4 linked regions of the Rattus norvegicus genome follow. The protein of the gene in region 3 purifies or fractionates together with the protein of the main gene of each other region. This does not show direct contact. Links are inferred from orthologs where the notes say so. Each region holds a gene or a part of one and is shown on either strand. Other genes may lie near its edges. The genes, in order: Atg2b, Gcfc2, Hdac11 and Paxbp1.

Region 1 (7,500 bases), on a different chromosome or scaffold from region 3:
AAAAAAGGATTATGTCGGCTGAGATTAATGTTCTAAAACAAAGAACGAGCAGTAGAACAGCCTCATAGAGAGGTGCCTGGGGAACCGCCCTGCAGACAGACTCAGCACTGCCACGGAATGACGTCCAGTGGGATGGGTCCTTCCCTGTACCTTGGGCTTTCGCTGTGGGACTGCAGGCTTCATCTCCGCTTTGTGAGGGGCATGTAAGTCCCCGTAACTTGCGACATACTGAATAAGATTCATCAGCGCCGCGCACGAGTCTGAGCATGTTCTGATGTGGACCACATCACTGGAGCAGTGCAATTCAAAGCGGGGCTCAGTCTGGGCAGGGCACAGGGAGAAAAGGACAAATACTTGCTTTAGACAAGAGTCACCAAGTCCTCTACAGGGTCACAGGAACTAAAATATATATTCATGGGCTGGAGATATAAGTCAGACATTATGAGTACTTGATGCTCCTATACAGGCCCACACAATTCCCAGCAGCCACACAATGGCTCACAACTGTCTGTAACTCCAGTTCCAGGGTCTGTCTGATGCCCTCTTCTGGTTGTAGGTAGCAGGCACACATCTGGTGCACATACATACATGTAGGCAAAGCATTCACACAGAGAAAATAAATCTAAAATAAAATAGACACTCATTCGTCTTGTCACATAAAAGTACTTAATTCTAGTTTCCAAATAGGATTAAATAAAAATTTCCACTTATTACAACTGACCTGTTCTCCATCAGAATCTGATTTTACTGCGGTTATGGTCAGCTCTAAAAGTCCCATGTCCATCACACGAACATAATCTAAGATTTAATACAATATTTACTGTAGTGTTTTTTAAACTGCTTATCCAATCAAAACCTAACCTTTGTTAAAGTCCATGCCTGGCCCTCACACAGGACTGGTAGTGTGAGAGGTGCAGCCAGGCTGGACTCACTGACTTCATCTGACACCTCACGTAATTTCAGCTACAACAGGTGACTAAATATTAAATAGATATTTAGACTGTATAGAAACACACAGCTAACACCATTAGCACATTGCGACCTCAAACTGAAACCTGAAGTTGTTGCAAATATTTCACATTTCAGCATCTGTTAAAAGTTCCCTAGGAAGAGCCCACCTTTCCAAAGCAACTCCCTACTAAAACTGCTTTACTGCATTCCCACATTCCAGCAACAGTAATCGACCCGAGTTTGCCTTGACCTCACCTCTGTTCAGGTTTATAGCGACGGTGTTACACTTGTCCGACAGGTGTAAAGCAGCCTCATCCATGATGATTCTGGGAAAGAGAAGAAACAGCATCTGCAAAACTGAGCTCCGAGGACTAGCACAGCGCCATCAGCACCTCACCACACCACGCTCAGTGCCTCACCTGTAAACCTGTGTAGCCCAAAAGACATGGAGGTGCCAAAGCACGGTCATTTAGGCTTCTGAGAACCCTGTCTAAAGGTTTCCATTTCAGAGATAACACACGTCTGGTACTAGGAAAGCAATCAAAGGGCCTAAACAGCCACCTGAGAGTCTAGGGGTAAAGTCCTCCCCTAAAGTGGAAATGGACAGCAAGAGGAGCAGAGGAGCACAGCCCTGAGGAAGGAGCCCTGAGGAAGCATGACTAAGTCAGTTTGGGTAAGGGAGCCCTGTATCTCCAGCTGATGTGTTTGAATAGCAGCCGCTGCAGGGTGAGTCACAGGTACCTGAGAGTGGAGGAAGATTTGTCCAAGGCGACGCTGCTAGAGATGCTGAACGTCTCAACAGTGAGAAGGGATCGGATGGGCAGGTGAAGGGGCCTGGTAGCAAACACAAGCAACAGGTTACCAGCCTGCTGCAGCACTTCCGAACACACGATCAACTCAGCTAGACAATTATGGGATTGCTGGAGGGCTCTGCTTTGTCCTGTTAGGATTCTGGTTTTTTGTGACAGGATCTCACTATGGAGCCCAGACTGGCTTCGGATCTTCAGTCTTCTTACCTGAGCCTGGTAAGTATTGGAGCTACAGTGCGACCCCACAGCAGGTAGAATTATTTATCCAAAAATCAATGTGTTAATTTTTATTACACTTTATTTACTTACATATGTGTGTGTGGCTGTGTGGTGTGTGTGTGTGTGTGGAAGCCAAAGGACAAACTGGGGCAGTTGGTTCTTCTCTTTGGTGATATGGATCCCGAGAAATGAACCTAGCTTGGTGGTTCTAAAATCAGTGCTATCAATAAAACTGTCCTGGTCTCACCTGTAGTCAAGGGCACAGCTCCAAAGATGGACGTGGAAGGTTGTAAATGAAGTTGGAGGGTTATATCCCAAGACAGGTTCATCAGCAATATTCAAGAAGTTTAAAATCTACAATCACAAAAACATAATACCTGCTTTACAAGAAATAACATTTTGTTAGAATACATTTAACAAGTATGGAACAGAGTGACTTAGGGTGCTATGAGAAAACACTGTCATTCTGAAGGAGTTCATTTTGAAAGTGTGTGCATGACAGGGATGTTAAGAGGAGAGATGCACTGACCTACTTATAGCAAACGTCTTACTGTGTGTGCTCACCACAGCCTGATGTCTTACTGTGTGTGCTTACCACAGCCTGGTGTCTTACTGTGTGTGCTCACCACAGCCTGGTGTCTTACTGTGTGTGCTCACCACAGCCTGATGTCTTACTGTGTGTGCTCACCACAGCCTGATGTCTTACTGTGTGTGCTTACCACAGCCTGATGTCTTACTGTGTGTTCTTACCACAGCCTGGTGTCTTACTGTGTGTGCTTACCACAGCCTGATGTCTTACTGTGTGTGCTCACCACAGCCTGATGTCTTACTGTGTGTGCTCACCACAGCCTGATGTCTTACTGTGTGTGCTCACCACAGCCTGATGTCTTACTGTGTGTGCTCACCACAGCCTGATGTCTTACTGTGTGTTCTTACCACAGCCTGATGCTGTGTCCCAGAAGTAACACAAATTACAAGGCTAAAGTACTTGCTGAATTGGAATGAAGAGTCACATCCAGTAACTGAATGCCAGACACCTTAGACACCCCATCTTATGCCACTTTAAACACTCTCAATCTACTCCAGTTTTGGAAGCTAAACAGGGCTGGACTGGCTGGTACTTAGTGCCCGGATGGGAGAAAGCCTTATCTAATGAAATTAATATTATTAAATTAAAACTATGCGTAATAATACAATTGACATATTGTCCAAAACAATTCTTGGAAGGAACTTTGTTGAAGATGACTTTTCAAAACTCTGGTTTCCGCAGGAGGTAGAGTTAAGGAAATAGGAATTTCAGGGAAATCCTCAGCTTCCTTATCTCTATGTCCTGGATGTCTGCTGCATTTTTGTGCTGCTGGGGTCCAGTGCAAGGCTTTGTATTATCTATTTATTATATATAAGTACACTGTAGCTGTCTTCAGACACATCAAAAGAGAACAGATCTCATTACAGATGGTTGTGAGCCACCAGGTGGTTGCTGGGATTTGAACTCAGGACCTCTGGAAGAGCAGTCAGTGCTTTTAACCGCTGAACCATCTCTCCAGCTCCTAAGGCTTTGTATTATCATGGGCAGTAGAACACTTGGCATGTGTGAGGCCCTGGGTTTAGTCTCAAGCATAGAAAAAATAAGTAGAGAGGTAGGCGGACGACAAAAAGAGAATATTTTGAACCCTAACTCTACTCTGTATGGAGGACTCAACTGGATACTAATTGCAAAAATGCTGATGAAATGACCTGGGCAAAGCCACACTACTAGCCTGCAGACATTGTGGCCTTTAAAGAGCTGCTGATTGGGCTGGAGAGATGGCTCAGAGGTTAAGAGCACTGACTGCTCTTCCTAGAGGTCCTGAGTTCAATTCCCAGCAACCACATGGTGGTTCACAACCATCTGTAATGAGATCTATTGCTTTCTTTGGTGTATCTGAAAACAGCTACACTGTATATAATAAATAAATTAAAAAAAAAAAAAAGAGCTGCTGATTTTCAGCACTCAGTACCACTGGCTGCTCCTCCAGGCCCGGCATTCCACAGGCACTCCTTTTCTTGACTGATCTAACAATGCTGACACTGAGAAGCTATCGGGACAGCATTTTGAGGAAAGAGTCACCTGCCTTCTGGGCGTCGTGACTTGTAAATGCTATTAAAAGGACATGACAGGTTGGGGATTTAGCTCAGTGGTAGAGCGCTTGCCTAGGAAGTGCAAGGCCCTGGGTTCGGTCCCCAGCTCCAAAAAAAAGAACCCCAAAAAAAAAAAAAAAAGAAAAAAAGAAAAAGAAAAAAAAAGGACATGACACAGGTGTCAGCTCTTACCTGCTCATGCCAACTGAGTCCAGCGGGCAGCACCCTGTGCTGTAGAGTGGCTCCTTTCAGCCCCACAGCCACAAGGAACTCCTGCACCACAGGACAACACAAAGAACCACGTTAATCCACAGAATCCCCAACTCAAGTCTTCCCAAGAAAACATAGGTGTGGGCACTGATACAATCACCAATGGGAAGCAAGCAAACCAATAATCGTAGGTAGCAGTGTAAGGCACGCACCTTCGTGTTGGACTCTGATTTATCCGACAGTATCTTCACTGCAACAGAGAGCATATTCAAGTTGTCTCCCCCAACACCATCTGAGGCAGCTCGGCTGAGGCCATCTTCTTCAGAGGAATAAATTGTAGGTTCCAACCAATGTGGGCGCGTTGAACAGGGCAATCGTGTCTCTGTAGGGAGAATGGCTCCATCTACTATGCCTAGATACACGTTGAGATAAAAACACCAACAAAATGATCACTTGCAATTAGTTCCGCAACTGTTTTGACTTTGACAACTCACAACAGGACTCTCTGAACAGACTGAGTATGCTTTACCCAAAATGCTCAGAAGCAGAAGCAGATGGGATTTTGTAGGGAATGTTCACATACATTAAATGAGATACTAGGGAGAGAGCACAGTTCTGGACATGACTCATTGCACTGTGTGCTCCCCAGACAACAGGTTCAAGGTCACTCATGCACGGTTCTGGTTCACCTGTGCTCTTGATCCAATTGGTGCTCTTGCCCCAATCTCAAGAGGTCAGGCACAGAATGTCCACTGTGGCAGCTCACTATCAGAGACGTCTGCGATTTAGAGCATTTCTGACATAATTTCCAGGACAAGTCTATATTCCTTTGAACCTAGTTGGGGGCACAGAGGGCCTAGTGCTCATAGACAACCACTAGGAAAGCAGGAACATTAAACATACAGGATTGTCTCTTTAAAGGAAGAGATATATAACCTGTTTTCTGCCCAGGAGGCTAGGGACGGAGTCAGTTAATTAGTCTGGTGACTCCTATGCTACCTGTTAGGCCAGGTCATACCTGGCACCCCAGACTCTTACAAAGAGGACTGGAGGTGGGTAAACTCTGCACTCTCTGTATGACTAAGACCATGCCAGATCCTGTTCAGGCCCTTAAGATGACACATGTAGTCTATCTATACATGCCATCTTCACAGAAGAAATGACAAGGACTTTGAGAAGGGTTTCAATATAACTATGCCTCACTGTGCACACAGGGCTGTGTTACAGCAGGAGACTGTTCCAAATTATGCCATACTGAAATCTGCCTCAAATAAACTGCCCAGTGTCAGACTCTGCAGTTTGAAGCACACTGGCTACTGATTTGTGTTGAACTAAACTTTCTCTGCTGGTGGTGCATTTGCAGAGATCCCCACAGACACTGGCACAGTTCCAGTGGCACAGGGGAAAAAGCCAGCTTAGCAGCAACAACCTACTTCTCTTTGTCCATGTTGGTATGACTGAGGCAAAAACTCACCAGAAAAAAACTAAGATTCTAAAATGCTAGGAAAATAAGATTTTTCTCTCTTTGTGCCTATTCAGAGTAATTCAGACAACTACTCAAAATTTTCAGTCAGGTGAGGTAGTGCGTACTTACAATCCTAGAACTCGGGAGGCTGAGGCAGGAGAATCTCAAGCTCAAGGCCAGTGTTGGCTATACAGTGAGACCTTATCTCAAAACAAACAAAAAAGTTTTAATATTTAAGTATGATTTTGGCCACAAAACCAGAACTCCCAAGAGAATACAACTTACATCATTGTATTCTCAAGACTGCATCAAATAGGAAGTTCACTCGCCAAACAGAAGAAAGAAAAAGCACAATTGCCCTACCTTTGTGGTACAGCCTGAGGCTGCTGGAGTGCAAGCAGATGTAGTGCTTGTCATCGAAACCCTCGTACTTTGTCACGCAGAAGAAGGAGCCAGTGTGGAATTCTAGCCAGAATTCACCATGTTTATTCTCCATCAGATCTCCATTATCTTGCTAAAAAAACAGCGGGGTGGGGGGAGGGGGAGGGGACATAAGTCACTTTTTGTTTCTTTTGTTCAATTTTAGTACTGGAGATAGAACCTAACGCACACAGTAGTTGCACATAGTAGGTGAGCTCTTAGTCGCTGAGCTTCAGGCCCCATCAACCGTAATTTAAATGCAGAGAGAATGTGTCTCCGCATGCTCACTCTGAATCTAACTCAGGAAACCTTCCACGCCACATAAGGCAGTGTGATTCCTGAGCCACCCGATACAGTGAGGCAAAACACTGCATAACATGTGTGCTATGTAAGTCTTCTGTAACAAGTACCTGCGCTTCACCTTCTTTTAAAATGAGAAAGATAAAAGTTACAACTACTGCCCTCACTGGCAAAATTAGCTCGTGCCTTCTACAGGGAGGCCATACAGCCTTAGATGAGCAAAGAAAGGAGCTCCCAGAGCAGCTGCAGTCTCTGCCATCCTGGACCACTGCGTCCATCCCCCACACTAGCCCACCTTCACCCACTTCATTATAGGAGAGTGCGCAGCATACCTTTACATCGGTGAACACTGCCATTAGTCCATGATTGATACTCAGAAGCACCGAGAGGAAGCTCTGAGAGTTCTTGTTCTGAGAGTCCAACTTTTTTTTCCTACGGGAACGATAGTTGGGATCAACAGCAGAAAAATACTGCAAAGTCTCTTCTTCAGATCCACTGTCTTCATCTACGCAGGGAAAAGATCTACTATTACAGGTCCTGACAGCTACGCAAGACAGCACTTTACAATGACCACAACAGCACTTTGCATTTTCACACAGGACAGAACCATGAGGGACACAGGCCTCCAAGGGAATTTCAAACATGTACATGATGATCACACCAGAGATTCCACATTTGAGCAGCACAGTCCTCATCAGAATAGTCCCAGATATGGGGAAGTCATAGACATTCCCAAGCAAAGTAGAGCATATGAAGAGGAGACATCAGACTTATAAATAAGGGGCTTATATCAGAACCAATGTAAAATGCATTACCATAGGGAGCCGCGGACTTGAAGGGACTGAAGCTATCTTTGCTGAAGGTGTTTATCAGCTGACTGGCCACCGAGAGCCCGATGCCATAGGAAACGTTTTCAAGTGTCTCCACTGGTGAAGGAGCTGTGGGCTCCCAAAGAAGCAAGTCATTAAAGATCCTAGAGACACAAAGCACAAGGCGAACGGGAAG
Region 2 (7,500 bases), about 9.1 Mb from region 3:
CACACCCAGCTGCCTCCTGCCTGAACCCCTCTGATGGTACACTCAGCCACCCATCGAACACCCCACTCAGGGACTGGCACCAACACAGCACAGCCACCAGATGCCGCCTCCTTCAGATTCCCAAGTCAGGAAAAGTCAACTGAGTCAGAACCCCAGAAACATTCTCCATGTTCTCCTGCTCCCCTGTACAACAATGCATCCTTCAGCACTCCCTGGGACTGCTGTCTTCAGAACACACAGAACCGATGTTCCCTAGCCATAGGATGGATGGCTCAAGCACAAGAGTTAAAAAGAAAACCATTGTCTAGAATAAGTCCTTCCAAGTTTAGCCAAGTTCAAAACACATTTCTCTGGAATATGTAAAAATACTCTGGTCAAATACTACACTACTACTATGACAGCCAACATTTGCACAAACAAGCATTTTCCAACCAGGTCAATCTGAAATCTATTGCTCTTTAACACACACAGTATTTCCTGTATCTCCAAAGTTCTAACAGAATCAAAATTACCAGGGATACCTGTGAGGCGGGGAACAACTGTTTTGTTGATGACAGCAGACAAGATTTTTTTATCGGAACCATCTTCTTTTCCTACATCTTCCATGCCGCTCTCCATAAACTCTGTTATGGCTGTGAACCAGGGCATCCTGTCTAGACCCATGGAGTCCATCTATAAGATGAGATAATAAAAGTTTTACATTCTTAAATGTGTGTATTTTCTAAGTTAACTTTTTCCAAAATTCCTAGATTTTTCCTAAGGCTCAAAGAGAATAATCATGTATTTTAATACTATGTATACAGCACTGAGGCAGAATAACTAAGAACTGTGTTTCATGCATTCATCTGTACAACAAAAATGCGGCAGTGGCCCACTGTGCGCCAGGACGTTCAGAGACCAGCAATGGCGGCTCTCTGACCGGAGTGAAATAACATCTTTGAGTTAGGCATTTGGAACTGCTACAGAATTCACTGGTAAAATTCATTCAACTGCCTCAAGCAAAATTGACTTCAGTCCTTTCACTTAAGAATAAATGTGTAATGTGCATGTGGTTTAGCTTGTTAGCCAATCAGCAAACAGCAAAGGCTATTACTATTTGTAGATCAATGAAATGCCAGAATGGCTAACCCCAGGTGCTGCCCACACACTCCCTAACAGTTCCATAGCAATGACCTTGCTCTAACTTGGGACGGTGCTGTGGTCCCAGGAAGCCTGAAGACACATGCGTAAGGCCAAGGAAGAGACACTGACACTCTCCACCATCTTCTCTGTAAGCTCGTGCTGAGAGCTTTCCTTACAGAGCTCCATTCTTCAGCGCAGGATCCAGGCCTTGGAGGGTCTGCACATGGAGAGTTAGAGCTCCTCCTTATTTTACTAATTCTTATTTTGTGACACACTTATAACCCAGCATCCCTTTGTCAGGCTCACCCTGAACTTTGATTATATAAATAGTCTTCTATATTTTATTTCTCTTTCTTCCAGGTTAACTACTTCTAGTGGCTTCCTAAAACACTACTTTCAAGTCTCTGAGATGACTTGGATGTAAAGGTACTTGCTGCCAGGTCTGATGACCTAATGTGGATCCTTGAGACTCATATAATGGAGAGAACCAACTCCCATATGCTGACCTCTGACCTCCACATGCATGCCGTGGCATGTGTGTACCCCACCACACACACAAATACATGTAATAAAACATTTTTAAAACTCCACATTCCCACCAGGTGGTAGTGGTGCACACCCTTAATCCCAGCACTCAGGAGGCAGAAGCAGGCAGATCTCTGAGTTTGAGGTCAGCCTGATCAGTCAGTTCCAGGACGGCCAGGGCTGTACAGAGAAGCCCTGTCTCAACAAATAAAACAAAACATAACAAAACAAATAAACAAAAAACAACTCCAAATTACCTTCTGTATATCACGCTTACTACTGTTTTCAAAAATGAGTTATCTCCAACCTCATAATCCTCAAAACAGGTTTGCAAGTCAAACTCAGTACTACATAATGTTAACCAAACTCAGTATTACATAGTTCTGGGGACATTTCCACACATTGCAAAGGTATTAAAATGTGTTTGAATTATTAATGTTTGGTCTTCTATGCCTTTAGAGCAAAAGATGGCTGGGGATGTAGCTCAACGGTTTGATGATTGTTTAGCACATAGAAGGCCCTAGGTTTTACTCCAGCTTGTCTCTGTCTGTCTGTCTGTCTGTCTGTCTGTCTGTCTCTTTCCTTACCACCCCCCACCCCCGACATCATGTAAGGGTCCCAGGCAATACAGTTCAGATAAATTTCTAGACAGTTGTTCCAGGGCTCTAAATTTTATCTACAACTTTAAGGGCAAATGATTTCATTTTTACTTTGTAATGATGTTTATTTACTAATCTGTGCAAGTGGGAGATGGCATGTGTAGAAGCCAGAGGATAACATGTGGAAATTAATTCTCTCCTTCTATCACATGGGTTTCAGAGTCCAAACCGAGGCCATAACCCTTGGCAGCAAGCACTTTGTATACTGAGCCATCCTGCCAGGCTGAGGTTGTGATATTTTAGACCTAACCTGACAGCAAGAGCAAAAGCAGCTGACATGACCAGGACAGTCACATGTTAAACACTGATACCTTAAGAGGATTCCAATCAAGCAACTGAACTCGTATCAGGGGACTTAAAAGCTTTGGTAAGCAGAAACCAACGAAGGCTTCGTAGTAGGAATCAGGAAACTTTTCTCGCCACTGCTGAAATTTCAATAAAATATTCTGGACGTTACAAAAATCATCATGCACATCTTCAAAAACTTTCTTACAATCCTGTAAAATGTCACCTGCAAACAAAGTAAGTCTCTTTATGTTATGCAGTTTAAGCCTGTTTCTTACCAACAGTCACGAGTTGCTACTTAACCAGCTGGGCTGGGAAATTTTCTATTTCATATATTCATTTTATTTAAAGTCACTTTAATACTGAAAGTCATATTATTGATACTAAGAAAGCGTACCATGTATTGAGTACCTGTCTATATGCCAATGTACCATACACTCACTGTCTCGTTTCATTACCATTGCCCTCTTCCCTTTAAGGCAGAGAAGATACATTGATTTAAACAAAGCAGGCAGGCAAACAACTGAACTGAGGCAGGCAAGGAAAAAGGCGCCTTTCCTTTGGATCTAGTAAACAGCAAAGCCCAGAATCTTTTAAAGAGCTGCACTACCAGCCTTCTCAGACCATTGTAAGTAGTTTCACTCATCAGCAGAGTACTCAGCCCACAGAACAGGAGAAAAGCCTGACCGGCTGTGCTCAGACACAGGCTTAGGATCTAGAACTTACCAAGACCCACAGAAATTAAAAACCAAGGAAACGAAACTGCCCAACAACAAGTGAGCTACTGAACTGAACAGTTTCAAAAGAAGAAAATGAAAGACCGATAACAAGTTTTAAGGCTGGAGAACACCCCAAACTACTGGGAAGCACAAATTAAAACTACTTTGTAACTCTACCTCACCACAGTCAGAAAGGCCATCAAAAAACCCAGTAGCCAATGCTGGAGAAGATGAGGGAAAGGAGCCTTATTCACTGGTGGTGTCTGCTTGGAGGTTCCTCAAAAAATTAGAAATGGCCCAGCAATTTTAATCCTAAGCACACACCTAGAGATCTCCATACCCTACCACAGAGATCGGCACCTTGATTTCTGATGCTCTATAGCCGGGAAATGGAACCAACCAAGGAGCGCGTCTTCATCTGAGCTGACACTGAGAGCCTGGTGTATGTACAACATGGAGTGCTCTTCAGTGCTAAGGAAAGACAGAATCACGAAGTCTGCATGCAAGTGGATGAACCTAGAATGTATACTGGTAAGAGTCATCCAATGTCAGGAAGAACCTGAGACCTTCTGTTCTGTCTCCTGTACAGATCCTAGCCTACACTGCACAGATATCGAGTGCAGGTACAGTGTATCATTTAGAAAGGAGAGCAAGAAAGGGCAACATTAGGGGATAATAATACAGGTAAAGGGCACGCAGCTGTGAAAGAGGACACAGAGTTACATACATGCCTTTCTAGTGTCAGTTCTATCAGTTTCTTCCTTTGTGTGTGCATGAGTGCACGTGTGGTGGACAGGTAACGAAACGGGAACTAAAAGGATACAGAGCCCAAGTCTTAGTACTCCACACCAATTCAAGGTGCAACAACTCCAATCAATCACTGCCACAACACTCTGAAGGACAGGCACACTGGGTCCTGCCCAATCTGTCCAACAGGGGCATCTACACCTCTAATAAACCTTACAAAAACAAAACGAAACACCTTGAAAAACAAAAGGTGACTGATGGTGAAAGTAAGAAACCTAAGAGGCTTCAGAACCACCGTGCTGGCTGCAACATTCACTGAGATGCACTGCTGGGTTTGAGGGTTTAATCGGCTTCGTGATGCCTTTAAGGCGAGTTCATCACAATCAGCCTCAGTGACTTAGCTGTTTAGTTGCAGATGGTACAACATAAGGAAAGGGCAGTCACAATGCCCACTGTAACCCAGCAGCAGCCAAGAGCCGTGGGAGCAGCTCACACCGCCCCCTTTCCAGAGGCAGCCATCTTACAGGAAGATGTTTCCACTTTCCTTGAATTTTCCTGTTTTAGTAATATAGATTTAAAAGCAGACACAACAAAGCCTTCCTCGTTATTTCAACATTTCAAAATAGGTTAGAATCTTGGCAATTGACCTTGGCGCTTGTGGAAGTTAGTCATCTCTGCAGGAGACAGCTCTTCATCACTGGATGTCCCCTCCTGATGGTCACAGTTGCCCGACAGCACCCTTGCCTGTCTTCTCTGCACCCTGTGTTGTGCAATAAAGTAATCACAATGTTACTATTTTATAGTGACACGTCACCGGATGGCACCATGTATGTCACTACTCTCAGACACTCTCTGCTTCCTCAGCTGCTTTGGTTCTAATGCCCCGCTTGGGTCATCCTCTGAATGTAAAGGTTCCTTAGGGAGAGTCCACTAGCTAGAGGTAGTTTCCAGTTCAAAGCAACCCTCCTAGCAATGGCCACCTCACCGACCCTCCTGAGCCCAGTCTGTTTCTGAGCGGGAGGCCAGCGGGACTAACTCAGCTGTGGGTTTACATCACGCTCGAAAACTGGGACTACCACACAGCTGATTCTACGGAAGTAGTGACAAGTCCTTGCTCAGTGTGTTAAGTCTGCACTTCAAACACATACCTTCGAGCTTCAATCTCTTCTAAAATCCGTTGATCCTTTTCATCCAGAGCCAAGCTTCCACTTGCCAATGTCTCATCTTTGCCTGTTAATTCACAAAATTAGCTTTGTACTAGTCTCAAAACAGTGAATCACTGAACAGGTGACTTCATGTGTGTACAAGAACACGTAATGTCTCATAGTGTACATTTGTTATGCCACAGAACGTAACGCCCATTACCTATCAGTATTCACAGCCATCAAGCCCACTGGCCTTGCTGGTGTATGTCATTTACCAGAGCAGGTGTCTCTCTTTTCGAGCAGTTTCCCCGTTTCCCCCATAGTCGTGTACTAGAGATATTTACACCACCAACATCGTACTTATACTATGGCCTGTCCATTTCAGCACGTTGCAGTGTTTATAACTGACCAAATGTGGGAGGGAGCTTGACAGTCACTTCACTCTTGTCAGCCACACCACACAGGATCTCCTTCCCTAAGCATCGTGCTAAGACACAAGTGCAGCGGCAATATGGTGTGAGGAAGCTGAGAGCCACTCTTTACCAACTCTGCTGAGACCCACCAGTTGTGCAGCCCTTCACCTACAGAGCTCAATTGCTGGGGAGTCATTTCCAATTACTCTGCTTATTGAATGGCACATAAATACTCTGTGTCGAGGGGCCGGGGGAGATGGTTCGGCAGTTAAGAGCACTGGTTGTTTTTCCAGATGACCAGGGTTCAGTTCCAAGCACCCACAGGAGCTTTTAAGTGTCTAGTCTGCCAGGCCCAGGGAAACTTACACCCTTTTGACCTCTGAACACTCCTGCACACATGGTAATGCATACATAACTAGAAAAATATACTTAAGACAGAAGGTCTGTCTGTATGCAAGCACTGTATGTAGGGCACTTTCTTAGTTAGTGATTCATGGGGAGCACCCAGCCCATTGTGGGTGGGGCTATCCCTGGGTTTGGCTGAGGAAGTAGGAAAGCAAGGTAGTAAGCAGCAACCCCATGGCCTCAGCATCAGCTCTGCCTCCAGGTTCCTTCTGTGCTTGAACTGCTACACAGAAGTGTAAGCAAAATAAACCCTTTCCTCCCTAACTCACTGCTGGTCATGTGCTTCTTCACAGCAATAGTAACCCCCACCCCAACTAAACAGCTTTTTTTAAAACACAGAACTCTAAAAATATTTTTATTCTCCATATGGCAATTCAGCTCAACAAGTGATGAAATGTAATAAAACACTAACGTGATAACTGTTGCAAATATGAGGATTCACATTTTAGCTCATCTTGCCTGCGTTTCAAAAGTGCTTCTGAGTGTTTTAAAAGCAGTGTGTACATGGATGACTCTAGTTCCACAATGCTGCTAATCTGAAACACAAAAGCCAAATTTTGCAGTTCATCAATAATAAATTATAAAAAGGATTAAAAAGCATTATTTGTAATCATATGTATACATTCAATTCTTGAATAAATAGTTCCAATATCAGTGCAAGTATCACACATTATGAAACCAAATGATAAGGGGTGAGGAGCATGTGCTTGAGGGATGGGTAGAAGGAAGGACTTTGTCAGAGAAAGGTGAGGGGGAAATGCAGACAGACAGCAAGGAGATACTAGAAGAAGCTGGTAAAAATCTGAAAAACTGAAGAACGGAGCTGGGCTAGAGCTGAGTGTACAGTGCCTGCTGAGCATGTCGAAGGCCCTGGGTTTGAGTCCCGCAACAGAATAAACTTCATAAAATGGAAGAGAGTCACTAGGGACAGAGAAGAGGGCTATGCTCCAGAATGTGTGACTAGATGAAACTGGACTCCTCCTTTTTAGGGAGCAGTTATGTCATTCTTGAGGCTTACTGCTGCTTCCAGGGATACAGGCAACCCCATGTAGGCTGGTATGATTTTAAAAGTGGAATTCAAGGACGAATGAAGAGAAATTTACACTTAAAACAAACAAACAAACAAACAAACAAAACAAAAAAAACCCAGAAAGCAAATACCAAATGACACCGTGTGATAAAGCAATATTTTCTGGATAAAATAGATATAGGAAGTCAAATTTAACTACTTTAGCAATCTTTTTCTCTTAAAGTTCCGGGGTTTAAATAAAGTGCCTTGCAAAAAGGTAATAAAGGGATCCCATGTCAGGACTGAGTGTTCACAGAACACAGAGGATCCCACATCAGCACTGAGTGTGCACAGAACACAGAGGATCCCAAGTCAGCACTGTGTGTGCACAAAACACAAGGTGAAATGAAAGATTTAAAAATCTGCTAGTGTAAAAATTTTAAACATACAACTATTAAAACCATCACAAAC
Region 3 (8,130 bases):
TTGCTATGGCAACGTTGCTAAGGCAACAGTGTGCTCCTTGAGGATCTGCAGCCTGCTTCCCTGCCTCAGGTGTATTTGGCTCTCTTCTTGTCAGTTCAGTCTGGGGCGGGCAGGCTGTCAATCAGCAGTGCCACCAGCTTAGACTTGCTTGAGCTTGGTAGCTGTCAGAAAGCTCCGTATGGGAGCCCCTGCAACCCCTACCCCCTAAACATTGCACAGAAAATTCTGTACTCAGATTGGGGTAGTTGTGGTGGTGGTGATGGCGGTGGTGCTGGTGCTGACGTTGCTGATGGTATCAAACCCATGCTAAGTCCAGTACTCTACCATGGAGCTACACCTGCATTTCTTGCTCATTGTAATTAAAAGGTAAAGTGAATGGTGTGAAAGGGAAAGAATAATAAACATACAATGTTCAGTAAGTCCATGTCCTATCACGACGACGACATTATAAAGTGAAAAGCCACCTCTTTGAAGCAGCCTTCTGTGGTTGCTGTGAACCTGGGCCTCGGAGCCTCAGCTTGTACACTTTGCAATAATACATGTAGAACTTATGATTTTTGTGTCCTTTTTAAAAGATCTGCCCCTCCTGAGAGCTGGAGAAATGACTTGGTGGTTAAGAGCACTTGCTGCTATTGCAGAAGGCCTGGCATTAAATTCCTAGCGTCCACATGGTGGCTAACAACTCCAATTCCAGGGGATCTGATGCTCTTTCCTGGCTTCTGTGGACATTGCATACATACGTGGTACATAGACGTAAACAAAGGCAAAAACCCATATGTGTTTTGAAAAGCAAATGCTTGGTTTCTCCCACTAGCCCTTGGGTTTGGCTGAGGCTCTCTGCTCTGTCTACTGCATGCACAGCTTTGGCCCTGTTGCTGGGTCTTAACGGATGTGCTAGACTGCCATAACAAAGAGGCCCTCAAGTCGAACCACTCAAATCACACAGCTCGTTCTCACATCTGTGACCTTGCAGACAGGTGGTTCAGCCTGCTGTGAGAGTCTGAAGAGATTCACAGTCTCCAGTGTTCCTCAGACTACCTCCTTCCTCAGTCACAAAAACCAAACCTAGCTCATGCTGTTAGACTAACTTTGCTCTCTTGGGCCTCAGCTGCTAGGTGCTGAATGCTCTGACTCGTTCTCCTAACCTGATGCTTACCTGTGCAGCTTCCCAACCTCCAGAGCGAGTCTCCTGAGACCAGCCTCATGTGTTTGTGTGTCTCTTGTGTGTTTGCCTTAAGTTTTATGCATTTATCCACACCCTTGATATTTGGGAAAGTGACTTCGCCTTCATTATTTTGCCCCAGTTTCTCTTGTATAAAATGGGGAAAATTTTGCCTTCCAGGGTTGTTTAGAGTTCAGTGTGAATGAGGCTTTGGGGACTGACTTAGCACTATGTTACTGACTGGCACTCAGTAAGAGCTGATGTTATCTTTGGAGTTTTTCAGCTTCCCCAGAAGGTGCACAGTCAACATCACCTCATTCATCTCTAGATGTAGCACTGAAAGTCCAGGAAATAGATTCAACCTTCCAAGTCCAGGGTGCTGGCAGATGGCCCAGGCTGGGCTGAATACAGGCTGAATTCCTCATTGTACCAGAGGAATCAGGAAGACTCCCCTCCCAGTTTGTAATAACCAAATGCTGCTCCTTCTTTCTCTCAAGCCCATAGCAGCTTTGACTCATAAGTCCACTGTCTGATTTACTACAGTTCAAGCTCTGTAACTCCTAGCACATAGGCTAGGTCACATGGTGTAGAAACTCCCGCAAACTTCTTTTTTTTTTTTTTTAAGATTTATTTATTTATTATATATAAGTACACTATCTTCAGACACACCAGAAGAGGGCATCAGATCTCATTACGGATGGTTGTGAGCCACCATGTGGTTGCTGGGAATTGAACTCAGGACCTCGGGAAGAGCAGTCAGTACTCTTAAACACCGAGCCATCTCTCCAGCCCCCTCCCGCAAACTTCTAAGAACAATGAATTGCCTTTGTCCCCTGAACTGAAGGCAGTGTCTTCTCCAGATCAGCCCCACTACCCATGGCTGGTAGTAATTCCTGACTGACCTCACACTCCTACAGACAATTTTTTCCCCATCTCATCTTTGAAAATCTATATCCTGTTTTCTGAAAATTATCTAACAGTAGACACATCAGAGGCATTCTTCCAAACTGTCAGCCCACATTAGGACTTGGCTGGCAAATACATGCTGTTGGTGCTCATGCCAGAGAGACTGAGTTCAATCCTTGGAACTTACACAAAGGTGGAGGGGAAAACTTGTCCGACCAGAGCTGACTTCCGGATCTTCACATATGCATTGTGGCATGTGCCTCATGCCCCAAAAATCAAAACAACAAATGTTGCGGGTTCCCTTCACACGAACCTGTGGCTCCTGGGCTCCCAGCTGCCATGTTAGTCCCTAGCTGCTCCTCTGGTCAGCTGCTCCTGTTTGGTTGATGAGGACAGCTGGACCAACAGAGGTCCATTGTCTCTTCTTCTGACCTCCATTGTTGGGGCCTCCCAGGCTCCAGCCATTACAGACAGCCCCAGCTGTCGGTCAGCTTCCAGGTTCAGGGTATAGGGGAATAGAGACAGGAGAAATGTTCAGTTATACACGACTGGACCAGACCTGATCTACAATAGGGAAACAGGTTCAGGGCATTTTATGATTAAGTGGGAAGTGCTTATACCATGGTGAAATGGCCACAGATAGTACAGGAATGGAAGGCTGCACTCCAGGAAAGAACATATAGCAGGGCTGATAGGCCCAGAACAGACATCTCACCACCACACAGTGCAGGGAAGCCAAAGAACTCATCAACTAAGCAAGTATCTATTTCTACCCTGGGAATAAGGGCGGAGCTGCGCATAACCACGCCCCCCAGGCGGCACTCCATTGGGTGCGTCTCCTTGGCCGGCGCGGTCCGGTTGTCTGTGACGCAGCCGCAGGCCAGAACTCCACCCCCAGCTCCCAGCGCTATGGAGGCGTGTTCTGCGTAGGCCCTCCCCGCTACACCCCTCCCAACCCTCCCCGTGCGGAGTGGTGTCCAGAGCAGGCAGGGCCGGCTGCGGGATGTGAGTGTGCGGGTTCGCGCGTGGGACCAAGCATGGGTTCTGGGGATCCCCGTGGGCACGGCGGGACAGTAGGAGGAGGGCAGGGTGACCGTGCGGGTGAACGGTGGGTCTCCCTTCCGCAGGGCACCGCGGTGGGCTGCAGGGCTGCGACGAGGGCACAGCCTCCTGCAATCGCGGTCTACGCACTACTTCCCCCACCCCACCCCCTGCGCGTTTTGTTCCCAGCAACACAGATGCGTGAGCTAACTCGTGTGACAGCCACATTCCAGCCCTCTACACCCTACACCCCGCCTTCCCCCGTACAGGCCTTGGGCCTTGGCGCCAGTAACTCCTGAATACACCTGGCACTGGCATGTGACCTTGGGCACACCTGGTTCCCAGAGCTGCTGTGAGGACTGTGTTGGAAGCTGGTTTAGTCAAAGCCAGCCAGGGTTCAGGAAGGAGCTGTTTTCATTCCTGTTGGTTGTTAAGTGACCTGGTGTGAGTGGGGAGGGGGAGACTCTTTCCACAAGGAAGCTGTTGTCTATATCTGCGTCTCTTCTGCACGTTGAAGGCCTCACGCAACACAGCTGTACCAGCATGTACCAGAGAAACGCTGGCCCATCGTGTACTCTCCACGTTACAACATCACCTTCATGGGCCTAGAGAAGCTGCACCCCTTTGATGCTGGGAAATGGGGCAAGGTGATCAACTTCCTGAAAGGTAAGAGCCCCCCAAGACTGGCATCCACTTCCTCCATTTCCCTGTTCTCACCACCTCCTCAGACTTGTATCTACCTTCTCCATTTTTTCCTTCTTCAGGTCCTCATCACCCCCCTCGGTCCTGCATCTGCCTCCTCCATCCCTGTATTCATCACATTCTTATCTGCTTTCAGCCCCCAGACTGCCTCTGCCCTGCTGTTAAAGGGTCTTTCCAGACAGGCTGCCAAGCAAGAAGGGCCCTGTCTTGTATTCCCACCAGTTAGATCTAGTCCCTGTCTCCCCCCCTAAAAATCTAGAGCAAGCTCCTAGCTCTGCGTTGTGCAGAAAATAGGATCAAATTAGACATTATAACACAGCTGTTTCTGTTGGGCTTGTTTTTGTTCCTCTGGTGACCTCCTATCTACAGCAAGTGGTACAGCTTTTCCCTCCGCTGTAGGGACCGACCTGAACATCCAAAGGAAATCACGGACTAGAAAGCACACAGGTGACGCATGGTGTTATTGTAAGCCTGGGATACTAGCCTTGCACGTCTGTTGCCTGCACAAATGTTTTCCTGCTGGTGCTCTCTGCCCTGACCTGGGCTCCTGCCTCTTTCCGTGGCACAGCAGAAGGGCTCTTCATCCCCCTCAGCTGGGAGTGAGCAGCCAGTCCCTTTGAGGATGAGGAAGGATGGGAGGTAGGACCACAGGGCAGGCTCCTTGGGCGCCCAGGTAGGAAGGGAGCTGACTGAGTCTGGAGGTGTCAGAGGCCATGGGACACTGTGGGAGGAAGCCCCTGCCTGGATCTCTGTATAGATGTGGATGGGACTGGTTGGTTTCTGAGCATGACTCATTGACAGTAGACCTTAGATTCTGATTTCTCTAGAACCAGAGCATCATGGCCCAGTCTCACCGGACTTTGGGGGAAGTGTCTGGTCTCTCAGCCTCAGTTTCTTTTGCAAAATGAATCTTTGGTAGCCATATACAGAAACCTGTCCCTGCAAGCCACTCAGACACCCTGGTGTCCCCTATACCACCTACTCCTCTGTTTACTGCATATTTTAAGATGCTTTGAGATTTTTCAAAAACTTAACTTTGTTTTAAAAGGAAACACATGTCCTCAAAATGGGAAAAGGCAGTTTCACTTGCCATAAATAGAAGGTTGCAGCAGGAAGATAGCGCTCTGAAAACAGCAGTTGCGCAGCTCTGGCTTCTGCTGCCTGTGAGCCACTGCTCTCCTTTGGTTAGCAAGGGGCATGCTCAAGGCTCAGGCAGAGGAAAGGCCACATTGTCCCGAGCCACCTGTGGAGGGAGAGTTGCGCTGAAGAGCTTTTTCTACCTTGAGAACAATCCTGTTGTTTGTGCTGTCTGCTTCTGGAAGTCATCCATCTGTACCTGAGTTCACCTGGTGGCCGTCAGCAGCACAGAAAATAGAGAAATGGCTGTGTGTTTCGAGTGCCCCACACTGGCCTAGGGAGGCAGCCGTTCTCAACCCACAAGTTCACTGTGTGCTGAGGGGCTGCCAGGGGCTAGCCTGCAGCCTGAGGGAGGAGGGTCTAGAGGCTGGACCTGCTTTGAGAGCTGGGAAGGCAGCAGGGTCTTCCTCTGTGGTTCCAGAAGAGAAGCTGCTGTCTGATGGCATGCTGGTGGAGGCGAGGGAGGCCTCGGAGGAGGACCTGCTGGTGGTGCACACAAGGCGCTATCTCAACGAGCTGAAGGTACAGTACCAGGATCTTCGGGCTGTGGTGAGAAGCAGTGGCTGGAGGGGGAGAAGCTCAGCTTTAGGGGTCCTGTCCCCAGCACAGGGGAGGTTCTTAAGATAAGGAGGGGGCCATAAGATATCTCTGTGGGTAGTCAGCTCCCCATTGTCAGGGTATATGCAGACGGGGTGTGCAGACAGAACCCCTTAGAGGTTTGGGCATATTAGTGACTTTCAGCCTATGCTCTGGACAGGGCTCAAAGGCCGCTGCTGGCATCGCTTTAGTGGGAGGGAGACATTGGCCCTTGTCCTGTCCACAAGGCCACTTTATTCTGTCCTGTTTCTGGAGTGGCCAGAGACGATATTCCAAGACCTCCTTATAAATGAAAACTCTTGGGCTAAAATGGCTTTGAAATGCCCCCAGGGCTCGGGAGGGAACATAAAGATGGTGGTGGGGGCAGATAGAGGTGTCTGGGATGGACTGCAGAAGATCTTCCCCTCCCATGTGGGTCATGTGGTTGGTTGCCGCACTGCTGGACCCAACATGATTACAGGACCTGCTTTTTCAAGAGAAGCCAGAATGCTGCTTATTAAATGATATTCTCAGATTTCTTCCTTTTTTTCTATTTTTTTTTTTGCTTTGTGATTTTCTGGGGGGTGTTTTTTGTTTTTAGTTTTTATGATTACTGGGACTTAGCATGTTAGGCAAGCACCCCACCACTGAGCTCCAGCCCTAGCCCCACCCTGATTCTGAATGTGTTAATGGTAAGCTTTTAAATCCCAACTGTAGGCCACACTGGGCTACCACTGTCTGCCCGTGGCCTCTTCGCACAGGAGATTGTAAACTCCTATTGGAAGTCAAGGTCTTTAATATATCCTTTATGTGACAGGTTGGGAGTGGGGGGGTGGGCATGGTTGCTAGTTTGCCCTGGCTGGAACTGCATCAGGGTGCCATTGAGTCTCTACCTCAGAGAATGAGAGTTCTGGTTCCCAAGTTTCCTGTCAGAGCCCATGGCTTCAGGACTCTACAGATGGCAGAAGTCAACAGGCTGCTTCACTCTGTCTGGAAAGACCTTGGCTCAGGAGTAGTCTGTGCCTCCTCAAATCACTTGGGCAGGGTGCTGTTAAACATGGGGAGGGCCCTTGTGGGCCTCTATTCAGGACTAGGGCCACAGCTGTTGCCTCTTTTCCCTCCAGCCATGGCCTGAGCTGTGAGAATTCTAGATAGGCCATGGCAGTGTGAGCTTGGGAAAGATTGCCAGGAAGACGCTGGCTCCCAGGAGAGAGGTGTGAGGTGTTGGCTAGATGCCCAGTGCCTGGCTGCCCTGGTTTCCTGGGGCCCAGACATGCATGATTAGTCCACAGCCCAAAGCCTGGCCAGGAGTCAGAGGTGGGAGGGGAAGGCAGGGGTAAGATGCTCTGAGTTTGGACAGGGAGAGACCAAAACAGAGTGGGGCCTGGATGAGGCAGAGGCTGGGGGGATAGTTACTAGGATTCCACCCATTTATAAAACCTCATGGGAAACTTACAGAGCAGGGGTCCCAAAGACTATGGAAGCAGCATAGTCTGTGATTCCCAAATAGGAAATAAGAGCAGAGATGGGGTGGGGGTTTGGGGGGGGTAGTGGGGTGGAGGTGGGGGTGGGGTGGCTCAGCTATATCAACATAACACATAGCTATTCACCAAGAGGATGGGCGATGTAACAGTTGGCTCCAGGCTCTGTGGGAGCCAGATCAAAGGGAGAAACATAGCTTTTGTAATACACCAGGTCTTGTGTGAGAGTCTGGAAAGCTGAGGAGGAAACATGGGTTTTATCTTGAGTACCACGAACAGGTTTGCAGTGGGGGAGTGATGCACCCACTCAGATGAGATCCGTTATCTAATGTACAACTCAAGCACACCTCCCCCACCCCGTGTCTGCATTGTCTGTCCCTTCCCTCTACTGTGGGCATCCCAAGTGGTGTCTGGCAGGTCTCTAGGTTCCCAGGGTGGTGGTTCTTGGGTCTTTCTGTGGGTGTTGTGTACCGTCTTCCCTCCCTGCTGCCTCATCTACTCTCCACACACCTGCCTAGGATAGGAAGCCTGCACTGCTGCGGCCTCCCATCCCAGTGACTAGGGTACCAAATGGGAACAGTAACATAGGTGCAGGAGTGAGTATACAGCCTAGGACTGGGCCCATTAAGACTGGAATCTTGGCTATGTCACTACTGTGTTTTATTTGCTGTGAATTCTAGGGCCCTGTCCCTAGGAGCAGGTCAGAGCTGGGAAGCTCCTGATGTCTGTCCCAGAGCATCACCAGCAAGTTCATAACCAAGTACACACTGTTTTGGGTCCTTCAGGGAGGGATGAGACCAAGTCCATCTCCTATGGAGAGCAAAGAAGTGTAACTTGCCGTCGGGTGCCAAGCGCTCGCAGAATGGGGGGCAGCAAAGTAGGGCGTGGAGGACAGTGAGTCCAGCAGGCCTTAAGGGAGTGAGCAGGGCTCTAAGCATGAGCCACAAGTGCAAAGGCCCATTTCTCCTTTAAAAAAATATGGTTAATCACATATATCACAGTCCACAGTCTTAAGGCTCAGCAGCGTCTCCCATCATCCATCCATGTGATATCACGACCTATAGCTGTTCCTGTCACCCTTGCTCCCTGGTATTCCCCGCCCTCTGCCCGGTCTCCGCCCACTTC
Region 4 (7,500 bases), on a different chromosome or scaffold from region 3:
ACGTCAGATACATATGGAGTATGATACATATGGAGACTGCTAGCACAGGGACAAAGAAAGGACAAAAGAAAGCACGAGGAACCTTCACTAAGAAAATTCCCACCAAACCACCCAAGGATATGGAATGCAATGAGGGAGATGATTAAAAGGGTTTCTAAGGCATCTGGCTGAAGAATCTCAACTACAGGAATTGAAAAGGTTTCCATTAATTTTGGTGTTTTTTTTTTTCCCTTAATTCATGTCATAAGTAACAATGCAATTCAATTTCTACAATTTTCACAAAATTTCCAGAACTGTATATATACAACATGTAATATACAGCGAACTAGAAACAAAGCACTTTTAAAAGAAATACAAAAGCATTTGCTTTACCCAGGGTGGCAACAACTCCTCTGATTTTGAAGCTATCACGTGTCACACAACACAACCTCCTCCCTGCTCCTTTCCCCGAAACTTCCAAATCCCTAAATTCAGTATCTCTTGCTGTGATCAAAACAGTATTTATCAGTGTCATGAGCAGAATGCAATTGGGGTGGGGGTGGGCTGTCAATTAGGGCCAGAGAGATAGTGGCTTTAGGATAATGCTGACCATGTGTTTGTGTGTTCTAAGGGCTGACTGAAAAGCACATCCAGGGAAGAGGAGACGGATAGAATATTAGTACAGTATTTGGCTCCTTGGTTAGGTCATACTTTCTTAAACATAACCCAAGTACATGCATTACAATTTTTAGATCTACCTAACTTATGAACAAGGAAAATTTTTAAAAGAAAAAGGTCTGTAATTTTCAATTAGGCTGCACTAAGTAAACAAGGTTGTTTAATGAAAAATAAAAACCTTCAAGATGGACTGACTTGAATGGCTTGAAAACTCCGAAGATTCATCTTTAATATCATCTTGTCGTCTTTGGACAAGGCGGGAAGCTCGCTGTTTGTACAGCTGATGTATTGCTGATTCAAGTTCATTAATCAGCGGCACCTGTAAAAATACAACACACTCCGTAACACCAAACTCCTCAGCCATGTCCGCATTTGAGGGTTCCATGCTATTTCCGCTTTTCTGAAAAAGTACTCTCTCTATGGACAAAATAAGCAGGCGTCCCCAACAAGAGCAGAACAGCAAGTCACTCTAAGTCAGGAAGCAATACTTTTTCAACCCACGTACAAAGCAAAATGTCCAGTGCCTGGTTATCGGAGCAAAAGTTAACTTAATAAATGTAAGGCTTCTGTGTTAATAAGAACAACAGGTAGAGAGATCAGGCTTTATGGTTAGAAAAATGTGAGTATTTATATATCTTACAAATTTATATTTTAATTATCCAGCAACATGATCCACATGGCAAATTTTATAGGTTTCTCTTTCTGTTTTGAAGATGAAGTCTATGTAGTTTCACCTGATCTAGGGCGATATGAGCCCTAGCTGGCTTCCTGACTCTTCCTCCTGACTGATGCAATTCCAGACACACACCACATTTAGTAAACTTCCTGGTTTAAAGGACTGTTGAGCTATTAACTAGTCTATTTTAAGTTGTTCAGCCAGGGTTGGGGATTTAGCTCAGTGGTAGAGCGCTTGCCTAGGAAGTGCAAGGCCCTGGGTTTGGTCCCCAGCTCCGAAAAAAAGAACCCCCCCCAAAAAAAAAAAAAAAAAGTTGTTCAGCCACTCACTCATACAACATACCCTACAATAGTATTACACTATTCTGCAACGTTATTGTACATCTTACAATTAAACTAAAAAGGTAAATAAAACGTCTAGCTATTGCTAGCCAGTCTGAAATCAAACTGAAATTTCTCTTCCTAGCAAATGTTTGAGTTTTTATTTTATAATAAAATCTTCAAATAAATTATAAGCTTTCAAGGTCAACAAAATTTTCTAACTTAATATACTTATCTAGTTTACTTAGTACAAAATGAATACAAAGACTTCAGAACATGGCATCTAAAATTTCAAAAACCAGAACATCTTTCTTTATAAATACCTTACTAAACAACCAAATGCTATGAAACTTCCACAAAACACAGAGGACCACTATATGTAACCCAAGGAAACCAGAAATTCATGTTTCCTGGCGGTTGGTAATTGGGAAAAGACACTAATCAGCGTTTAGAAAACTGGCACCAAGTGTTACAGCATTTTCCTAGACCAGACAGCCCGTAGCTGGGAAATAAAAAGCCAGGTAAGATACACAGATGCCTGTAAGAAAAGCTTTCATTCTTGCAGAACTCCACTGCCAGTGTGGCAAATGTTCACAGAAAGGTCAGGCTGCAGGAGGTCCTCTGTTCTTTAATATGCCAGACCATGGGCAAGCATGTCCCCAGTCGGCAATGATTATTCTGTAGTCCAAAGTCACTACCTAATCTGAAATGTTTATTTCCCAATTGCTGCTGTTATCACTGTGGCTTGGACTGCACATCTATAACTAGTAATGTTCTTCTTGAAATCCTGCAAGAGTAAATTCGAAGGTACTGAAATGTGTCCTTAGTCATAGATAAAGCATTCCCTACAGGCTCGAGCCTGTCCTGGTACTGTAAAGAATTATCTCATTTAGGAACTTGGAGTGCCTTTTTTTAAAACTCAGAAGACAACTCTGGGAACTAAAGCTTAAGTTTCAATTTTTTATCTCTTTCAAAGTTCACAACATGGATTTATCTAAAGAGTCTGCCATGACAGTTTCTTTAGCCTTTAAAAACTACAAGCTATCACTAAACTTATTTAGGAGCAAATGTAAATGAAAAAAAGAGATGACTGACAGGGAAACTAAGCTGTGCAAGTTAAAATGACCAACAGACAACTTCAGTTTAAAAAGCACTCTAACTTCACAAAGAGGAGAATATTTAACTTACTCTGAAAGAGTATTTCAGCATAACTAAACATAACATTCATACCTATCCAATTATCCCTAATTTAAAATTGTTATCTTAAACATCATAAGGGTGACAACTCATGACATTTTCATCAGAAGCACACACAACTGACTCTATGCATGTGAAGGTGTAAGAATGAAGTACACATCTCTGAAATACAGGACTATCTGCTCCTTTTCCTGAAAATATATTCAATATGTAAGGGTTCAGATCTGGTACAACATATCTAAGTGACTCTATAGCCAACTAGAACTATCTGAAGTAGACTTCTTCAGGAACACGGTATGCAGAAGAGGAAGCACAGTAATGAACCAGTAACAGAAGCAGACACTGTGTCCTAACTCTTCTTAATCTAGGGTAGCATAGCTAGCAGTGCTATCCACTTTAGCATCACACTTGCAACCCTGACTGCTTACGTTTGTAAGTTCTATAAAGCCAAAGCCAAGACACTTACAGAAGCAGGTCCCAGAGCCCATGCCCACACATACAGCACTGTTTAAGGAAAGGACCTTATTCTGGTGCTCTGACACGTAGGCCCTACTTCCAGTCTTGCTGAAACATCTAAACTCATGTTTCCTTCCTGGCCCCAAGCAACTAACCGATATGACAACTGCAGGTGCATCGGGCACTGGACAATACTTCACACCATGCAAAGTGCTGGGGAGGCTATGACGAATGGTCCCATCTGACCACACACAACTGAACCAAGACCCATCAGGAAGACAAGTCTAACTGCACTTTCCTTAACCTTTGGCTTTATTGTATTGAAGCCAACATCCAACCATACTTTCTATAGATTCTACTGAAACAAAAGAAACAACAACAACCACCTAGTTAATAATAAAGAAAAATTGCCTTCCTAGCCAAGATTCTGGAAAAAAAAATGTAAGGACCATACTTTTAATATTTTTTAAAGCTGAGGTGAAATACACCAACTAATGCTTATAAACCAGCCCATCAAGCTAGATATCTACTTTTCCTTAAGTTTTACCTATGATGGTGTGTAAGCATGATGTATGGGGTGCTCATGCCTCTGCCTGTGTGTGGAGGTGAGAGGACACCTAGGTGGAAGGAGGGCCCACTCTCTCCTCCCACTTCACAGGGTGCTTCAACAGCAAGCACCTTTACCTGTTCAGCCATCTTGCCGCTCTTTCTCCCACCTTCTAATGTTAAATTATTATGTTATATATCTGTGCATGATATGTATGGAGAATTATCTTAGAACAAACAGGAAGTTACTTGAGAAGTTAGCGTATGCAACTCGTTTTTAAATATACTCAAAAGATTTTGTCAATTGTCATACTAGAGCAGTGAATTCAGAAATGAGAAATGTTCAATGAATAAAAACATAATGAATGGCTTCTGAAATGAATGAAGCGTTGGCTTAGACAAAAACTAACAGAAATACCACCATAAAAAGCAGAACTAACTAGCAAAAACCTGTCATATAGTGCACTACTTATAAATGTTTAGAACTACTAAAAAATAGTGTAGAAGTGAAATTAGACCTGAATCATAAAAACAAAACACTATTAGGTGAATCCCTTTTATTCTATCAATCCAGTGCAGACCAGCAACTAACATGGTACTGAGACAGGACTTGTCAGTGTGAAAACATGCACTCTGAGACAGTCTCTCTCTATTTGTTTGAAGCACTCACTGTGTTGCCCTCAACTATGATGTAAAGAAAATGGAGCATGACTTCAGCACTTCTAAAGCTGGGTGCATTCTTTTCTGGGAACTATAAGATGCTCTATGAAAGGCCGTCTAGGTCTCCCTATTTTTGCCTTATTCAAAGAGATTATTATTTTTGCATTCTTACCTTTTCACTGAAACACTCAAGCAAGTCTTGGACATACCCTCGCATTTCTTGCAAAAATTTATACCGTTCACCAATGCCCCCAGAAGACCCTTCTAGTCTCTCAATGGCCCTGGTGGAGTCCACTCGGCTTTGCAGGTGTTTTTCATGCTGCTGTCGATTGGTTTTGTGCAATTCTTTCATGGAGTCCAACCTTCAGAACACAAAAGGATAAATATAGCACATTTACATCTAGAATTCAATGCTGTCAGGACTCTTGCAATATTATATGCATTTTAGTTCCAGTATTAGAACATGAAAATACTTGGAATGCATCTTTTTGTCTGTACTGCTTTTCTTATAAAAATAAAAAATAAATTTAAAAAGGCAGTTTAGACTTCCAATAGTTATTTGGTGGGCTAACCAAAATCTTCTGCTTTGGGTCTCCCCCCATCTCTTGGCTACACTTTCAGAGTCCAAGAGGTGAAAACTCAGCACTGTCTTCGACAAGCTCAGGGAGCAGCATTTTAATAACGCTGAGGCTTCCACAGAAGTACTCCTGAAGGTAGCAGAGCAGAGCATGAAGTCATCTTCTGATTAGCTTGTGAAGATAGGCCAGTGAGTCTTCTTTGCCGGCATTCTGCATCTGCTACCCAGACTACAGGTTGCCTGAGGGACCAGAAAGCTAGCAGACAGGTCTTTAAGAAGTTGATCTGCCCTACCTGTCTTTAAGCTGTTTCTTTACCAAATCAATAGTAATGGGAGCCGCCTCGTTACTGGGAGTTTTGAAAGGGACTGTGTTATCTGATTTTTGAGACTTGGCATCTGATGATCCATAGGCTGTATAACTATAAGGTACGCCATAGGATGCACCATAAGGCATTGTCTGGTAAGTGTTCTGGTAGTACATATTCACTTCAGTGGGCTGACTTGCTTGAACCTGAAAAAAAAGTGAATGTATAAGAAAACTAATTTAAAAAATAAATGCCTTTAGTTATGAACACAAACAGCAAAAATTATATCCAGTTCCCAGAAAGGAATTAAGATAATAACTGCAATACTCTTCAAAATCAAATAAACATAGGGTTGTATAATTCTTGGGTCCTGGTAAAATCACTCATTTTATTTCTAATGATTTTCAGAAAAATAGTCTCTCAGAGTTTAGAAATGGAAAAAAGTTTAGGATCCAGGTAAGGTGTTATCAGGAAAAGTGACTTGGTTTACAACCAGGACTCTTTCAGCCACTCCAAAGTTCGTTACAGTCAGTCTGCTACCGACACTACCAACACTACATATAAAAATGCTCACATTATGCTCTTTCTCCATGCTGCTACAGAACACGTCACTGGAACTATCTTGGTAGGGGGTTTTATCAAACTCTTTGTTTGCATACCCAGGAAACCCATCTTCAAAATTAAAACATCAACAACAAAAACACAAACATGTGGTTCAAGGTAGCCTTCTCAAGCTTCAGCATGTGACAGAATCACCTGGAAAACTTGCTAAGTGAGTGCTGGGCCCAACCTCCACCTTCTCGCTCCTCTGTACCTTAAAAGGGGATTCCCCACCCTGCTGCTGAGAACTAGCTGGAGAAACTGGACATTGGTCCACCAGTCTGACTATAAAAAGCAAACTTTGACATAGTTTCTTCTACAACCCGATGAATATAGGACCACACGCCAATTCCAACTGTGACACCTGACCGAGAGGAGAGACTCACTGTGGTCCTCTCCACTTTAACAACAACAACAAATCCAGTCTGCTTGTTTTCACTCTTGAAGTGTCTTCTTACCTGAGGGATGTTAATTCCCTTTCTAATCTGTTCCTGCTCCCAGCGGCTGAGCTCTTCGTCTTGCTCTCCAGTTACTAAGGCATCATCGTCACTCCCCTCAATACCTGAGGCCATAACAAGAGAGATCAGCATCCAACAGCAGGGAGGAGGAGGCCCTGTGCTAACATGTCCGCTTGGTCTGGTTCATTCTCCTGACTTTTCCTGTTTTAATAATGGCAACCATCTTTAATGCTAAAATAGTATTTAATGTTTCTCTTGCAATCTTTGGTTTCTTAGTTTCTTTTTTTTTTTTTTTGGTTCTTTTTTTCGGAGCTGGGGACCGAACCCAGGGCCTTGCGCTTCCTAGGTAAGCGCTCTACCACTGAGCTAAATCCCCAGCCCCAGTTTCTTAGTTTCTTTTAAGCTTACCATCAACTCTATAATGGGAAGCACGAAACGCATGGCTTCAGAGCCCTTAGAGAGCTGTGCAAATTGATGCACAGGAAGTCCTTAGTACTCGCACCCAGAAGTACTGAAGAAGTAAGAGCTGGGGAAGAACAGCCGTGTAGGCAAAGCTGCTACAGTGTAGGATCAATTTACTGCAATGCAGTGCGCTTGCTGTCAAGTCCATCAAGTTACCTATCTCCTCAGCGATCTTTTGTCTTTGTGACTTTTCCTTCACAGAAAAAACGATCCGGCGTTTCTCATCATCATCCTCATCATCGCTGGCATCATTCTCATCCTCTCGGACAAGGCGGCCTTTACCAGGCTCACTGTCATGAGGAGTGAAGTCTCCCAGTTCCCGGGCCAGTTGGCGCTTTTTTCTTGCAGCATGGATAAAAGCTGCATCTGGAATTTCTCCTGGAAACAAATTGTCAGAATTATAAAAAACTTAAGTACCTGGGTTATGAAGTGTACTTTCTTCAAAACAGGAAGAAGAGAATAATCCAAGACAGTCTTGTGAGCATGGTGCTTGACAATGGCACTGGCCTCTTCCTAAACTCTACATGCAATCCAACTACCGAGCTGTCAACGGGTTGAGTCACAACTCCCCAGCCCAGCAGAGACA

What was found.
Region 1: the proteins of Hdac11 (region 3) and Atg2b purify together in Homo sapiens (co-immunoprecipitation; 3 studies listed by BioGRID and IntAct, counting the BioPlex papers as one, with this or other methods). This does not show direct contact. The link is inferred for Rattus norvegicus from reciprocal best matches to the Homo sapiens genes HDAC11 and ATG2B.
Region 2: the proteins of Hdac11 (region 3) and Gcfc2 purify together in Homo sapiens (co-immunoprecipitation; 3 studies listed by BioGRID and IntAct, counting the BioPlex papers as one, with this or other methods). This does not show direct contact. The link is inferred for Rattus norvegicus from reciprocal best matches to the Homo sapiens genes HDAC11 and GCFC2.
Region 4: the proteins of Hdac11 (region 3) and Paxbp1 purify together in Homo sapiens (co-immunoprecipitation; 3 studies listed by BioGRID and IntAct, counting the BioPlex papers as one, with this or other methods). This does not show direct contact. The link is inferred for Rattus norvegicus from reciprocal best matches to the Homo sapiens genes HDAC11 and PAXBP1.

The regions. Positions count from the first base shown.
Region 1 is NC_086024.1:130,309,388-130,316,887, forward strand, and holds part of Atg2b (autophagy related 2B), read right to left. Parts: intron 7,469-7,500; coding exon 7,311-7,468; intron 7,001-7,310; coding exon 6,828-7,000; intron 6,290-6,827; coding exon 6,139-6,289; intron 4,723-6,138; coding exon 4,523-4,722; intron 4,374-4,522; coding exon 4,293-4,373; intron 2,334-4,292; coding exon 2,227-2,333; intron 1,786-2,226; coding exon 1,693-1,785; intron 1,278-1,692; coding exon 1,207-1,277; intron 799-1,206; coding exon 722-798; intron 322-721; coding exon 151-321; intron 1-150. UniProt on the Homo sapiens protein: Lipid transfer protein required for both autophagosome formation and regulation of lipid droplet morphology and dispersion.
Region 2 is NC_086022.1:116,057,514-116,065,013, reverse strand, and holds part of Gcfc2 (intron Large complex component GCFC2), read right to left. Parts: intron 6,557-7,500; coding exon 6,433-6,556; intron 5,288-6,432; coding exon 5,206-5,287; intron 4,818-5,205; coding exon 4,705-4,817; intron 2,818-4,704; coding exon 2,618-2,817; intron 673-2,617; coding exon 522-672; intron 1-521.
Region 3 is NC_086022.1:125,204,327-125,212,456, forward strand, and holds the start of Hdac11 (histone deacetylase 11), read left to right. Parts: upstream 1-3,001; 5' UTR 3,002-3,071; coding exon 3,072-3,073; intron 3,074-3,079; exon of another isoform or gene 3,080-3,105; coding exon of another isoform or gene 3,106-3,176; intron 3,177-3,235; exon of another isoform or gene 3,236-3,538; intron 3,539-3,626; coding exon 3,627-3,775; intron 3,776-5,369; coding exon 5,370-5,470; intron 5,471-8,130. UniProt on the Homo sapiens protein: Responsible for the deacetylation of lysine residues on the N-terminal part of the core histones (H2A, H2B, H3 and H4).
Region 4 is NC_086029.1:43,772,566-43,780,065, forward strand, and holds part of Paxbp1 (GC-rich sequence DNA-binding factor 1), read right to left. Parts: intron 7,293-7,500; coding exon 7,071-7,292; intron 6,557-7,070; coding exon 6,453-6,556; intron 5,601-6,452; coding exon 5,383-5,600; intron 4,875-5,382; coding exon 4,685-4,874; intron 977-4,684; coding exon 853-976; exon of another isoform or gene 836-852; intron 1-835. UniProt on the Homo sapiens protein: Adapter protein linking the transcription factors PAX3 and PAX7 to the histone methylation machinery and involved in myogenesis.